Elephas maximus indicus: one gene and its partners. The protein of the gene in region 2 purifies or fractionates together with the protein of the main gene of each other region. This does not show direct contact. Links are inferred from orthologs where the notes say so. Each region holds a gene or a part of one and is shown on either strand. Other genes may lie near its edges.

What was found.
Region 1: the proteins of STUB1 (region 2) and PPARG purify together in Homo sapiens (affinity purification with western blotting; 3 studies listed by BioGRID). This does not show direct contact. The link is inferred for Elephas maximus indicus from reciprocal best matches to the Homo sapiens genes STUB1 and PPARG.
Region 3: the proteins of STUB1 (region 2) and NADSYN1 purify together in Homo sapiens (co-immunoprecipitation; 3 studies listed by BioGRID and IntAct, with this or other methods). This does not show direct contact. The link is inferred for Elephas maximus indicus from reciprocal best matches to the Homo sapiens genes STUB1 and NADSYN1.

What each region holds. Positions count from the first base shown.
Region 1 is NC_064838.1:37,503,273-37,507,018, reverse strand, and holds the start of PPARG (peroxisome proliferator-activated receptor gamma), read right to left. Parts: upstream 2,936-3,746; 5' UTR 2,421-2,935; coding exon 2,339-2,420; intron 1-2,338. UniProt on the Homo sapiens protein: Nuclear receptor that binds peroxisome proliferators such as hypolipidemic drugs and fatty acids.
Region 2 is NC_064830.1:57,894,812-57,898,557, reverse strand, and holds the start of STUB1 (E3 ubiquitin-protein ligase CHIP), read right to left. Parts: upstream 2,226-3,746; 5' UTR 2,092-2,225; coding exon 1,933-2,091; intron 1,388-1,932; coding exon 1,189-1,387; intron 1,109-1,188; coding exon 943-1,108; intron 770-942; coding exon 682-769; intron 597-681; coding exon 540-596; intron 464-539; coding exon 347-463; intron 269-346; coding exon 143-268; 3' UTR 1-142. Other genes in the region: uncharacterized protein LOC126086948, read left to right, coding at 2,325-2,473, 2,789-2,888, 3,110-3,242, 3,398-3,550, 3,638-3,746. UniProt on the Homo sapiens protein: E3 ubiquitin-protein ligase which targets misfolded chaperone substrates towards proteasomal degradation.
Region 3 is NC_064825.1:134,274,465-134,278,210, reverse strand, and holds the start of NADSYN1 (glutamine-dependent NAD(+) synthetase), read right to left. Parts: upstream 2,566-3,746; 5' UTR 2,471-2,565; coding exon 2,386-2,470; intron 181-2,385; coding exon 120-180; exon of another isoform or gene 1-119. UniProt on the Homo sapiens protein: Catalyzes the final step of the nicotinamide adenine dinucleotide (NAD) de novo synthesis pathway, the ATP-dependent amidation of deamido-NAD using L-glutamine as a nitrogen source.

The DNA of each region.
Region 1 (3,746 bases), on a different chromosome or scaffold from region 2:
CAATTGAAATTGTCAATCCATCAGTAAATATTTACTGGTTACCCATAAAATACAACAGAAGGCCTTTAGGAACTTATATTTTAACAGAAAACAACACGAATAAGATGTAATCACAAACCATGTAAGATAATATGAGACTAAATTACTGGTACAAAATGTGTTGTAATTGCTAATAAAAGAAAAGTACTATGGCCCAGCAATTTCACTCCTAGATATATACCTAAAAGTCTTGAAAGCAGGGACTCAAACAGATACTTGTACAAGAAGGTTCATTACAGCACTATTCATGATCGCCGAAAGGTGGAAACCACCCAAGTGACCATCAGCAGAGGAATGGATAAACCGAATGTGGTACGCACATACAATGCAATGTTACTCGGCTATAAGAGAAACGAAGTTCAGACATACACTATGACATGGATGAACCCTGAAAACGTTATGCTGAATGAAATAAGTTAGACACAAAAGGAGAAGTGTGAGTCTACTTATATAAGATATAAGGCACGTATTTGGCAAAATAACAGGCAAATGCACAGACACAAAAGTAGATCAGTGGCTATTGGGGTTGGAAGGAGGGGAGAATGGGAAGTCATTGCTTAAGGGATACTGAATTTCTTTTTGGGGTGATGAAAAACTTTTGGAAATAGATAGTGATGACCACGCACAACATGGTGAATGTAATTAATGTCACTGAATTGCACACTTAAAATGATTATAACAGCCATTTTTTGGTTATAATATATATTTTATCACAATAGCTTTTTTTAAAGAAGAAAAGTACTGGGTTCTTCTTTTGGAGGAGATTAAACAGGGAAAATTCAAGGCACTAAAAGTAAGAGATTAGCACAGAAAGAAAACCAATTTGAATCACATAACCGTCCTTACAATATACAGGACTTCTATTGTACTTGCCTCCAGAGAACCTAAAAGGTTTGTTGCATTACACTCTAGAGATATTCTTTTCAAACAGAGAAAACTATCACATTTTGATTCAAGTACTATTATTTCATGGAATAGCTAGGACATTTTGCCCTAATGCAGGCTAAATCAATAACTGAAGAAAGGTAGCAATAATTTTTATGGCTTGCAAAAAAAATAGAATACCATCATTTTACACAGCATCATGAAAATAAAGTCCTATATAAGAGGCTCAGAAAGATAGAAATCAGCAAGATAGAAATATACATTGAGTCAAAGGATTATAATAAACTGAAACAGTATTTCAGGAAATATTTTTTCTTAATTAAAAAAAATGATGCTTTTAAAATTTGTGATTAATATGTTAAAGTTCTAGGCTTTCATAAAGATCAAAAGCTTAAAATAGAAGCGTCCATTTAAACAATTAGGTGACTTAACATTAATGCCTTAGCATTTATAGTGTAAAACATGACTCACACTAGTTAACACAATCTATTTTTACATGAGGCCTATGAGAAGAGAAAAAAAATAAAACAAATAGAAACAAAGAAATAAATATGAAACAATACAAAACATAAGAAGCTGTCCTAAGAAACTCCAGTAGAAGGAGCTGTAGAAATGAAGAACTTAAACTTGGCAATGGCTAAGAAAGAAATGCTGAAAAATGAAGTCGCTGTTTGAATCTTTCATATCCTCGCAGAAGTAATATCTTATTTAGCACACAATAAGCATTTAACCTTTTAGGAAACTCATTTACTTCAAGTGTGAAATGAGGTTCTTAGAACGGATGTTCTTCAAGGTCCCCACAATCTATGCTTTTAAAACAGAGTAGGCACTATGCTAGGTATCCTAAGAAACACAAGAAAGAATATAGCTTGGTCCCTACACTCCGGGTGCTTACAATTCTTCAGCGAGATAAATGTACACACAAATACCTAGATTTCAAAGTAGAACAGAAAAGTACTCAGAGAGGTTTAAGAGGAATAAAAGTGCTGGAAGAGGGATAGAAAGCCCTGTGAGAAATATCTAGCATAAAAGACTAATGGGGGGAAAGTGACTCTTCAAAAATTCCAAAAATTCCTTAAGTATTTTTGGGAAATGTATACAAACTCAGGAAATAAAAACAAATAAGACTGGTTTAGGATATACATGCGCCTTTAATGCCTACAATTCAGGAAGTAAGAACCATGCACAGAAATAATTTTATTAGGTTCCCCCCTCCCAAAGGTTTTGAATATTCTTTATAAGTGAACATTGGGGCAGAAAACTAAGCATTAAAGTACTGAAATATAGACACGATAGTATTAGAATAAATATACTTTGAAAAACAACTTTTCTGTAGTCTGAACCTAGACGAGCAATTTTACCCTTACTTAATGCCAAAAATATCCCAAATAGCCCTTTCTAGAACAGACTTTACCTTGTGAAGTGCTTGCAGACAGTGTATCACTGAAGCAACAGCTCTCAGGGTCAATGAGAGAATCTCCCAGAGTTTCACCCATACCAGCATGGAAAAGAGATTCGCTGTGATTCACAATGATACTTTGTCTATTCCTCGCAAAGAATCAATCCGGTAAACGAAAAAGACTTGCAGTAATAAAACATGAATACACCAGTGAATCAAGACACCAGTTTCCAAATATTTGGGAGAAGTGGGAATAAACACAGAAAGGACCAGGCCTGAATTGGCTGGCACCATCCTGTTAGGGAGCCAGCTGTGACAAAACGTGGTGTCATAATGCTGCTCACTGCTTTGGCAAGACTTGGTACATTACAAGAAAAATATTGCCACACTGTCTCGTCAGTAACCCACATGTTCAGAGTCTTGTGAGAGGTGTGAACTGTACAGTATTTAGAATTATCAGAGCAAGGAGATTGTTCAAGAGCTTCCTAAAATGGAAGACTTTAAATCCCTGGGTTATGAAATACCAGAGAAATTCATTTGGACGAAGTTTTTTTCTAGCTGTCCATTCCTGGTTGAATCTGTAGCCACGTTATCTGAAGTAAACTTTTGAATTCGAATATGCACTCATTTTAAATTTGTTATCAACATATTATAATCCTAAGATATTTATTATGGAAACCCTGGTGGTGTAGTGGTTAGGCGCTACAGTTTTTAACCAAGAGGTTGGCAGTTTGAATCCGCCAGGTCCTCCTTGGAAGCTCAAAGGGGCAGCTCTACTCTGTCCTATAGGGTCGCTGTGAGTTGGAATCGACTCAACGGCAGTGGGTTTCTTTGGTTTTTTTTTAAGATATTTATTCTACTACTTTTACCAGTTGCTGTTAAGTAGATTCTAACTTAACCCCATGCGTGTCAGAGTAGAACTGTGCTCCACAGAGTTCTCAAAGGATGGCCTTTCAGACTTAGAACACTAGGCCTTTCTTCCAAGGTATCTCTGGGTGAACTTGAACCTCCAGCCTTCTGGTTAGAGGTGTGTTTTTTGTTTTTACCTATACATATATAAGTACACACATCTACATGTAACCATGCACATATTTTTTTGGTTGTTACTACTGTTGTTGCAAAATTTTATATGTTGTGGCTTTTTACCAAAATCACCCCTTATTCTTGTGTATTTCTTTGTGTGATCATTTACCTTGGTCAAGTTGTGCTGACTTCATCCTTATTCAGTATTACCTTACCCATCACCAAAACTAACAAGCATCAACTATCTAGAAAGTGATTCTCCCTCTTTTTCCCTCCCATCCCTGGTAACCACCAAAGAATGTTGCTTACTGTATGTGTAACTATTCTTTTCTTTTTATAATAGTGAGATGATACAGTATTTGCCCTTTTGTGATTGGTTTAATTCACTCAGCATAATGTC
Region 2 (3,746 bases):
ACCTAGGGAGGGCTGTGCTGAAACAGGAACAGTTCAGAGCCCATCAGCAGTACGACAGGGTAGGGCAGGACACTAGGGGGTGGGGGGGTCCAGGGACAGACTATGTACAAGGGCTGGGGACACAGGCCCTGCACTGGCAGCCTTAGTAGTCCTCTACCCAGCCATTCTCGGAGATGAATGCGTCGATGACCTCCTTCATGGCCAGGTTGGGGATGAGCTGTTCCTGGGTCAGTGGGCTCCGCGTCACAGGGTCAAAGTGGCCCACACGCTGCAGGGACAGCAGGGTCAGAGGGTGCTCAGGGGCCTGGGGCTGGGCAGTACCTGTCCCTGCTGGCCGCAGCCTCACCTGCAGGTGCTCCTCAATATCTTTGCGGTCATAGGTGATGCCACTCGGCGTGATGCATGGCTCACGCATCAGCTCGAAGCTAATCTTGCCACACAGGTAGTCAGGGATATCTCGCCTCTGCAGCACACAGGGAGGGATCAGGGGCCATGACAGGGACCCCCACCACAAGCCCCAGGGGACAGATTGGCCTCACCTTTCTCTTCTCGTCCACCTGGGAGAAGATTTCATCCATGTCTGCCAGATATTTGTCCTGCAAAGAAACAAGCAATTAGGCACCATCCCCCTGCCCCACCATGCACGCAGATAGATCCACTTGGGGCTGGGGGTATTCTCACATGCTTGGCCTCAATGCAGGCCTGCTGGGCCCGGACGTGGCCATCGTCCTTGTCACCTTCGTGGTTCCGCTGACAATCTTCCAGCTCCCTGGGGGCCGACCAGGAGCTGGTCAGATAGGTCTAGCCAGGAGAGGTCAGGCCCCACCCAATCTCAGGGCCAATGATCAGGCCTCCCATCTCCTGCTTCTCCAATAAATATTTTTGACTTAACCTAAGACTACGTGACTTAGTGGGGCAGAGTCTGCTTCGGCCACAGCCCACCTCTCCCGCTGTGCCAGGATGAGCCGTGTGAGGTAGGAATGCAGCTCGTTCTCCTGGTGGATGCGCCGCTCCTCAATGCTGTTCCAGCGCTTCTTCTTGGCAATGCGCAGAGCACTGGGGATGTCATCACCAAAGTTGAGCCGCTGCTCCTTGGCCAGGTTGTAGGCTGGGGAATGGGGGCTTTGGGTCACTCGTTGGCAGTCTGAGGCCAAGCCACCCCTGCCCCCCCCCATGCCGCCAGCCCACCTCGCTGCAGATTGGCGATGGCCTCATCATAGCTCTCCATCTCAAGCTGGCACTGCCCCAGGAAGAAATGTGCCTTTACTGACTGCCCGTCCAGCTCCAGAGCACGCCGGCAGTCAGCCAGTGCCTGCTCATGCTGCTGCATCTTCAAGTAGCACAGTGCCCGGTTGGTGTAGTACACAGCTACCAGAGGGTTCCGGGTCTGGGGACCAAGGCCAGACCAGCCAGTGTGAGGGTCTGAGGGCATGAGCTCAGCCTGGGCCCTCTCCCAGGTCATGTTCGAGCTTTGGGGCCCAAGGCTGGAATCAAACTATAAGCTTCTCAGGAGTCCCTGGGTCCCAAGACTTGCTGAGCTGGAGTCCTGGCCCACGTGCCTGGCTCAGAACCCAAACCTCAACTCTAATTGATTTTGCAAAGGTAAGTCCCAGACCTGTGGAGACCCACACTTTGGGTTTGCGGTCCTCGATGCACAAAGATACCTGTACTCAACCAAGCCAACTCAAACAAACCTGAACCGTTCACCCCACCCACCATACTTGTCCAGCAACTGGCGCTGGGTCCACAGCCGTGGCCTTGGCCCCTTAGGAACAAGATTATCACCGAGTCCTCAGCCTGTGACTTCCCTGAGACCGAGCCAAAACCTTCCTACCGAAGGACCGGCGGGGCTGCCGGGTAGGGGCTGGGGGGCGGTTGGACGCGGGGCTGAAAGATGGGGCCCTGCCCCCTCCCAGACCAGGGCGCACTCACGATTGCGCGGCCGTAGCAGGCCGCCGCCTCCGGGTACTTGCGGCCCACGAAGAGCCGGTTGCCCTGCTCCTTGAGCTCTTGCGCGCTGAGGCTCTTCTCCGGGCTTCCACCGCCAGCGCCCAGCCGCGTGCCACCCTCCTTCTCCTCCCTGCCCTTCATAGCGCCGCGCGGCACAGCCTGGGCTTCGCTCCCAGGCTCCGCGCCCGGCCCACCCCGTGCCCGTAGCCGGAGCCCGCGATCCGCTCAGGCCGGGTCCAGTGATCGGCCACCGGAACTTCCGGCTGCGCGAGGCGGAGCCAGCGGATGGGCACGTGAGGTGGGCGGGCCCGCGCGTGCGCCTGCCCGGCTTCGGCGACGGGGCGGGGTTAGCCGGGAGCGCCGGCGTAAAGGCGATGCCCGTGCACCCCCTAGCCTCTCTCCGCCCCCCACTCTTGAGCCCTCCTTCCCGAAGGCCGGGCCCCGCCCCCACATACCCTGCTCCTCTAAGGCCTCTCTACGGAACCGGCTACGGCTGCAGCTGTCTTTGCATTCAGCCTCCCCAGTGAGATACCTTCTTTGGGCCTGCCCCATCCCGTGAACCCCGCCCCCGGACCAGCTGAGGACCCGCCCCCGCCGGTGAAGCCCCGCCCCGGAGTGCGAATATAGCAGCCGCCCGCGGGCTGTGGGGCTGTGAGGACCCGAGTCGCTGGGTCGTCCTGGCGCATCACGGGGAGGTGGTGTGGGCGCACGCGGGCTCCCAGGGCCGGCTGGAGGCCCTGGATCGGTGGTACGGCGGTAGGGAATTTGGCGGAGGGAGAGGGTACTGGTAAAGGCGACAGCTCCCCGTGGCCTGGACCCCGTCGCTGCTCTTCCCCAGGTATCATAAGGAGTTGCTCGTGGCCGGGAGTGGGTGGAGTTCGGGGGAGAAGCACGTGACGCGAGACGAGCTGGAGCGGCTGCTGACGTGGAAGGTTGCGGTGAGGATTCCCCTGTGGGGTTGGTCTCCAGGAGAGGGCGGAGCTTCTTCCTGGGGAGACACTTCTTCGCGAGTCAGAGCTTCCTCGGGCGGAGTTTCATTGGGGCGAGCCCTCGCGGGGCGGGACCTCTTTCTGGGGTCGGGGCTTCCTTTGGCCAAGTCCGCCTCCAACACCCTTGGCCTGGCCACCCCCAGTGGGGCTGATTCCGGCCGCCCCTGCAGCAGCTGGTAGCCGCCAATCCCCCGGAGCTCGTGGTGCGGTGCTCAGCCGCTGCCTTCCGCCTCCTGCCCGATGTGCTGACGGCCGTCACAGAGCTGTGTGCCCGCCGCAGTGTGGGCGCCGCCACAGCCTCAGGTGAGGAAGCACTTGGGTGGGTGTAGTGTTCTCTCTATCCACCCAGCGAAGTTCTCGGGTGGAATGGGAACCCACCTGGCCTGGTCTGTCCTGGAGGCGGTGTTGTCCACTGAGTTGTGGGGCCAGAGTACTACCTTCCGTTTCACTGCCTATAGCAGTCCTGGCAGCTGGAGCTCCTGAGGCAGCAGACTTCATGTCCCATGAGGCGGTGGCCAGGGTGTCTGGCCTGCCTGCCCAGCAGTACATCCTCCAGCACTACCGGCTGTACCTGGGCCAGATGCAGGATCATGCCAAGGCTTTGAGCCAAGGTGAGGGGACATCGGTGGGCAGGAGGGCGTCCAGGGCTCCGGTGGGAGTGTCCAGAGGGCAGGGGTGGCTAGCATTTATGGGCCCAGACTCCCTCTGCTCCTTCCCAGCCAGTGCCTCTGGGCCACGGACCCGGCAGCCCGCGGAGACAGCACTGTGGACCTGGGCCGTGGGGCGGAAGATGTGCCCGGGCCTGCT
Region 3 (3,746 bases), on a different chromosome or scaffold from region 2:
GCATACCCCAGCTCTCAACCTGGCCCAGGGCGCTTCCAGCAGACACAGCCACTGCCACCTGCCCACCCCCGGACTGCACACCCAGCTCATCCCAGGGTATCTGTGAGGTCAGCTCTCACCATATTTCCAGTTCTGGTCCAAGCCTGTACCTTGCTCCTTTGTTTTTGGCAATTTCAATACCTACATGCACAGAGGAAGAAAGAGGGGCAATTTCAGCACCTACAACATATCCAAAGGTAATCTAACACCCTGTTGTGGTTTGTTGTTGTTAGTGCTACTGACTCCAACTCACGGTGACCCCATGTGTGCAGAGTAGAACTGCTCCATAGAGTCTTCAAGGCTGTGACCTTTTGGGAGATTTCCAGGCCTTTCTTCCGAAGCACCTCTGGGTGGATTTGAACTTTTTTTTTTTATTCTGTTTAGGTGAAAGTTTACAGCACAAATTAGTTTCTCATTTAAAAATTTATACACGAGTTGTTTTGTGACATTGCTCGCGATCCCCACAAGGTGTGAGCACTCCCCCCTCTCTACCCCAGGATCCCTGTGGCCATTCGCCTGTTTTCCTGCCCCTTCCTGCCTTCTCACCTTTGCTTTTGGGCAGGTGCTGGCCATTTGATCTCATATATTTGGTTGAACTAAGAAGGACGTTCCTCCCATGTGTTGTTGTGTGTTTTATAGGCCTGTCTAATCTTTGGCTGAAAGTTGGACTTCGGGAGTGGCTTCAGTTCTGAGTTAGCCAGGCACCTGGGGGCCACAGTCTCGGGGTTTCCTCCAGTCTCTGTCAGAGCAGTAAGTCTGGTCTTTTTTTGTGAATTCGAATTATGTTCTACACTTTTTTCTGCTCTGTCCGGGACTCTCTATTGTGAACCCTGTCAGAGTGGTCAGTGGTGGTGGCTGGGCACCATCTAGTTCTGGGCTCAGGCTGGTGGAGGTTGTGGTTTACGTGGTCCATTAGTCCTTTGGACTAATATTTTCCTTGTGTCTTTGGTTTTCTTCATTCTTCTTTGCTCCAAACATGATGGGATCAATAAATGTATTGTTTTCAAACTCACAGCTTTTAAGGCCCCAGATGCTGCTTACCAAAGTAGGGTACAGAACATTTTGTTTATGGACCATGTTATGCCAATTGACCTAAATATCCCCCGAGACCATGGTCCCCAGCACTAAGCCCCAGTAACTCAGTTCCTCCACCAACCTTTCAGTTAATAATCGAGCACTTAACCATTTGCAACACCCAGGGACTCCTGCTGCAGCAGTCACAATTTTAAAAAATGATAATAATAAAAATGAATGAAATTTAAAAAGCCCCGTGAGCTCCCTGACCCCATGCAGCCAGCCCTCCTCCTGGCAGCCTGGCAGCAAAGGACAGCACCTCCCAGACCAGCTCACACCTGACCAAAATGAGAAACGGGGTCAGGTCTCCGGGCTGACCCTTAGCACCAAAGGAGGAGGAGGAAGGGGAGAAGAGGACACACCCTGGTGGTTTATTAACATGTAGACACTGAACACCTGCAGCAGAATGAGTGCAGAACTCGAAGGTGCTGATTGGGGGTCCCAAGGCTTCCAGCCCAGCAGTGGGACCCCTGCAGGCACTACCGCTTGGTGGATGTGGGCAGCAGCTTCTCTAAGGTGGAGGGCCAAGCTGCCTCAAAATCAGTTCTGGCCACCTGAGCTCGCCTCCCTTCACCCCAACCAGACTTGCTCTGCCTCTGATGAAATGAAAGCAGGTTGATTAAAAAAAAAAAAAAAAGTTCAAGGGAAATGGCTGACAAGACGTTATTGCTCAAATTCTGTTTTACCCGCTCTTGGCCAGCCCTCTGGGAGTAAGCAGCTCTGTACGAGACAACCAGGGTGGCTCACATCTGCAGGTGTGCCAGGGCAGGCTAGCTGAGATACAAGCGTGCAACCTTTCACTCACAAAGTGCAACTGTCACCCCACAAAGCCCACAGAGTTTTTAAGCTCGCAGGCTCACCCCCTTAGTCTGCCTTCCCTGTTTGGGCGGATCTCTCCCAGTGCCCACCCACCAGAAAGGTCCTCGCAGGCCACAGGCTGCCCACTGCAGGTCTCTTCTGCAAACACCCCGGCCAGCAGTTGGCCGCCCCTCCGCTAACACACCCCCGAGTATGGGCAGCTCAGCCCCAGCTGTGCCACCTGGGCTGCACGGATGCTGGAGGACAGGTGCGTGCCCCGCCCCCCAGCTGGCTTCCCTCCCCCACGCTCCTCTCTCTCAAGCCTCACAAACCACGTGTCCCACCACAGGCCTGGCCATTATCCACTCTTATCTGGGGTTGCCCCAGGTGCCTCCGGGGCAAGGAGCTGGGGGGTCGCGGGGAGCGGGGCCGCACACTGGACGTCCGCCCCGCCAGCGCAGCCTCCAGACTCACTCTTTAAAATCCTTTGCAAATTGCCCTCGAAGTCCAGGGCCCACTGGTTGAGCGCACACGTGGCCACGGTCACCTTCCGGCCCATTCTGGCCTCCGTGGCTCGGGAAGGCAGCCCGCGGGCCAACCTGCCGGTCTCTCGGTCCTCCGAGCCTGGGGGCCAGTCCCCCTGAGCCCCGCGTCCGGCCCCGCCCCTCCCAGCCCCGCCCCTCCGGGCAGACCGGCGGAGCTCCGCGTCCGGCCCCGCCCCCTCCTCGCCCCGCCCTTCCGGGCAGGCCCGCGGAGCTCCGCGTCGGGCCCCGCCCCCTCCCGGCCCCGCCCCTCCGGGGAGACACCCTGAGCTCCGCGTCCGGCCCCGCCCCCTCCCGGCCCCGCCCCTCCGGGCAGACACCCTGAACTCCGCGTCCGGCCCCGCCCCCTCCTCGCCTCGCCCCTTCCGGTAGTCCCACGAACTGTAACATCCGGCCCCGCCCCCTCCACGCTCCCTCCGCGCCCCGCCCCTTCCGGTAGTCCTACGAACTGGGGCGTCAGGACCCGCCTCCTCCGCGCCCAGCCCGTCAGGGCCCGCTTCGTCAGGCCGCGCCCCGCCCCCCCCGTGGGTAGCCCCGCCCCGTGAGGTCCGCCTGGCAGGAAGGACCCACAGAACCGCTCCTTGAGACTTCGCTCCGCCCCGCCCCTCCCGGCGAGGCCCCGCCCACGCAGGCCTGTAGAGCCGCAGGTCTGGCCCCGCCCCCGCCCCGCCCCGCCCCACCCGACGAGGCCTGGCGGGGGCGGGACCGCGGAGCCTCCGACTTCAGGCCCCGCCTCGCTCCGCCCCCACCCCCGCCCGCCTGGGGAGGCCCGGTCGCGCCTGCGCAGCAGGCAGGTGCTCCGAGCCGCGGGTCACCGCTCGGGTCCGGCTCTGCCAACCCCTTCGGCCGCTCCGTGGGCGCCGCGCAGCCAGACGCCTGGCCCAGGCTGGTGGGGGGTCGCCAGGTCGGGGGTCCGTCCGCTTTATCCACTCGCTGACACCCCACCCGCCAGTGTAGCCGTGTTCTAATGAGATGTCTCCTGAGATGCTGGGTGCCGTGTGGTTAAGAGCTGGGCTGTCAACGCAGAGATCTGCAGCTGGACTCCGCCAGGGGCCCTTGGCGACCTGCGGGCAGGTCTGCTCTGTCCCGTAGGGTTGCTTGGAGTCGGCCCGCCTGGAGGCACATGAAAGTAAAAACCTTCAAAGAGGGAGCCCCGGCGGTGCCAAGGCTGCTAACCCAAAGATCCACGATTTAAACTCGCCAGCGGCTCTGTGGAAGAAAGGCCTTGAAGTAGTGAACATGTTTTTTCTTTAGTGTTTTAATATTAGGGAGAATATATTTTCTTGTTTGTTA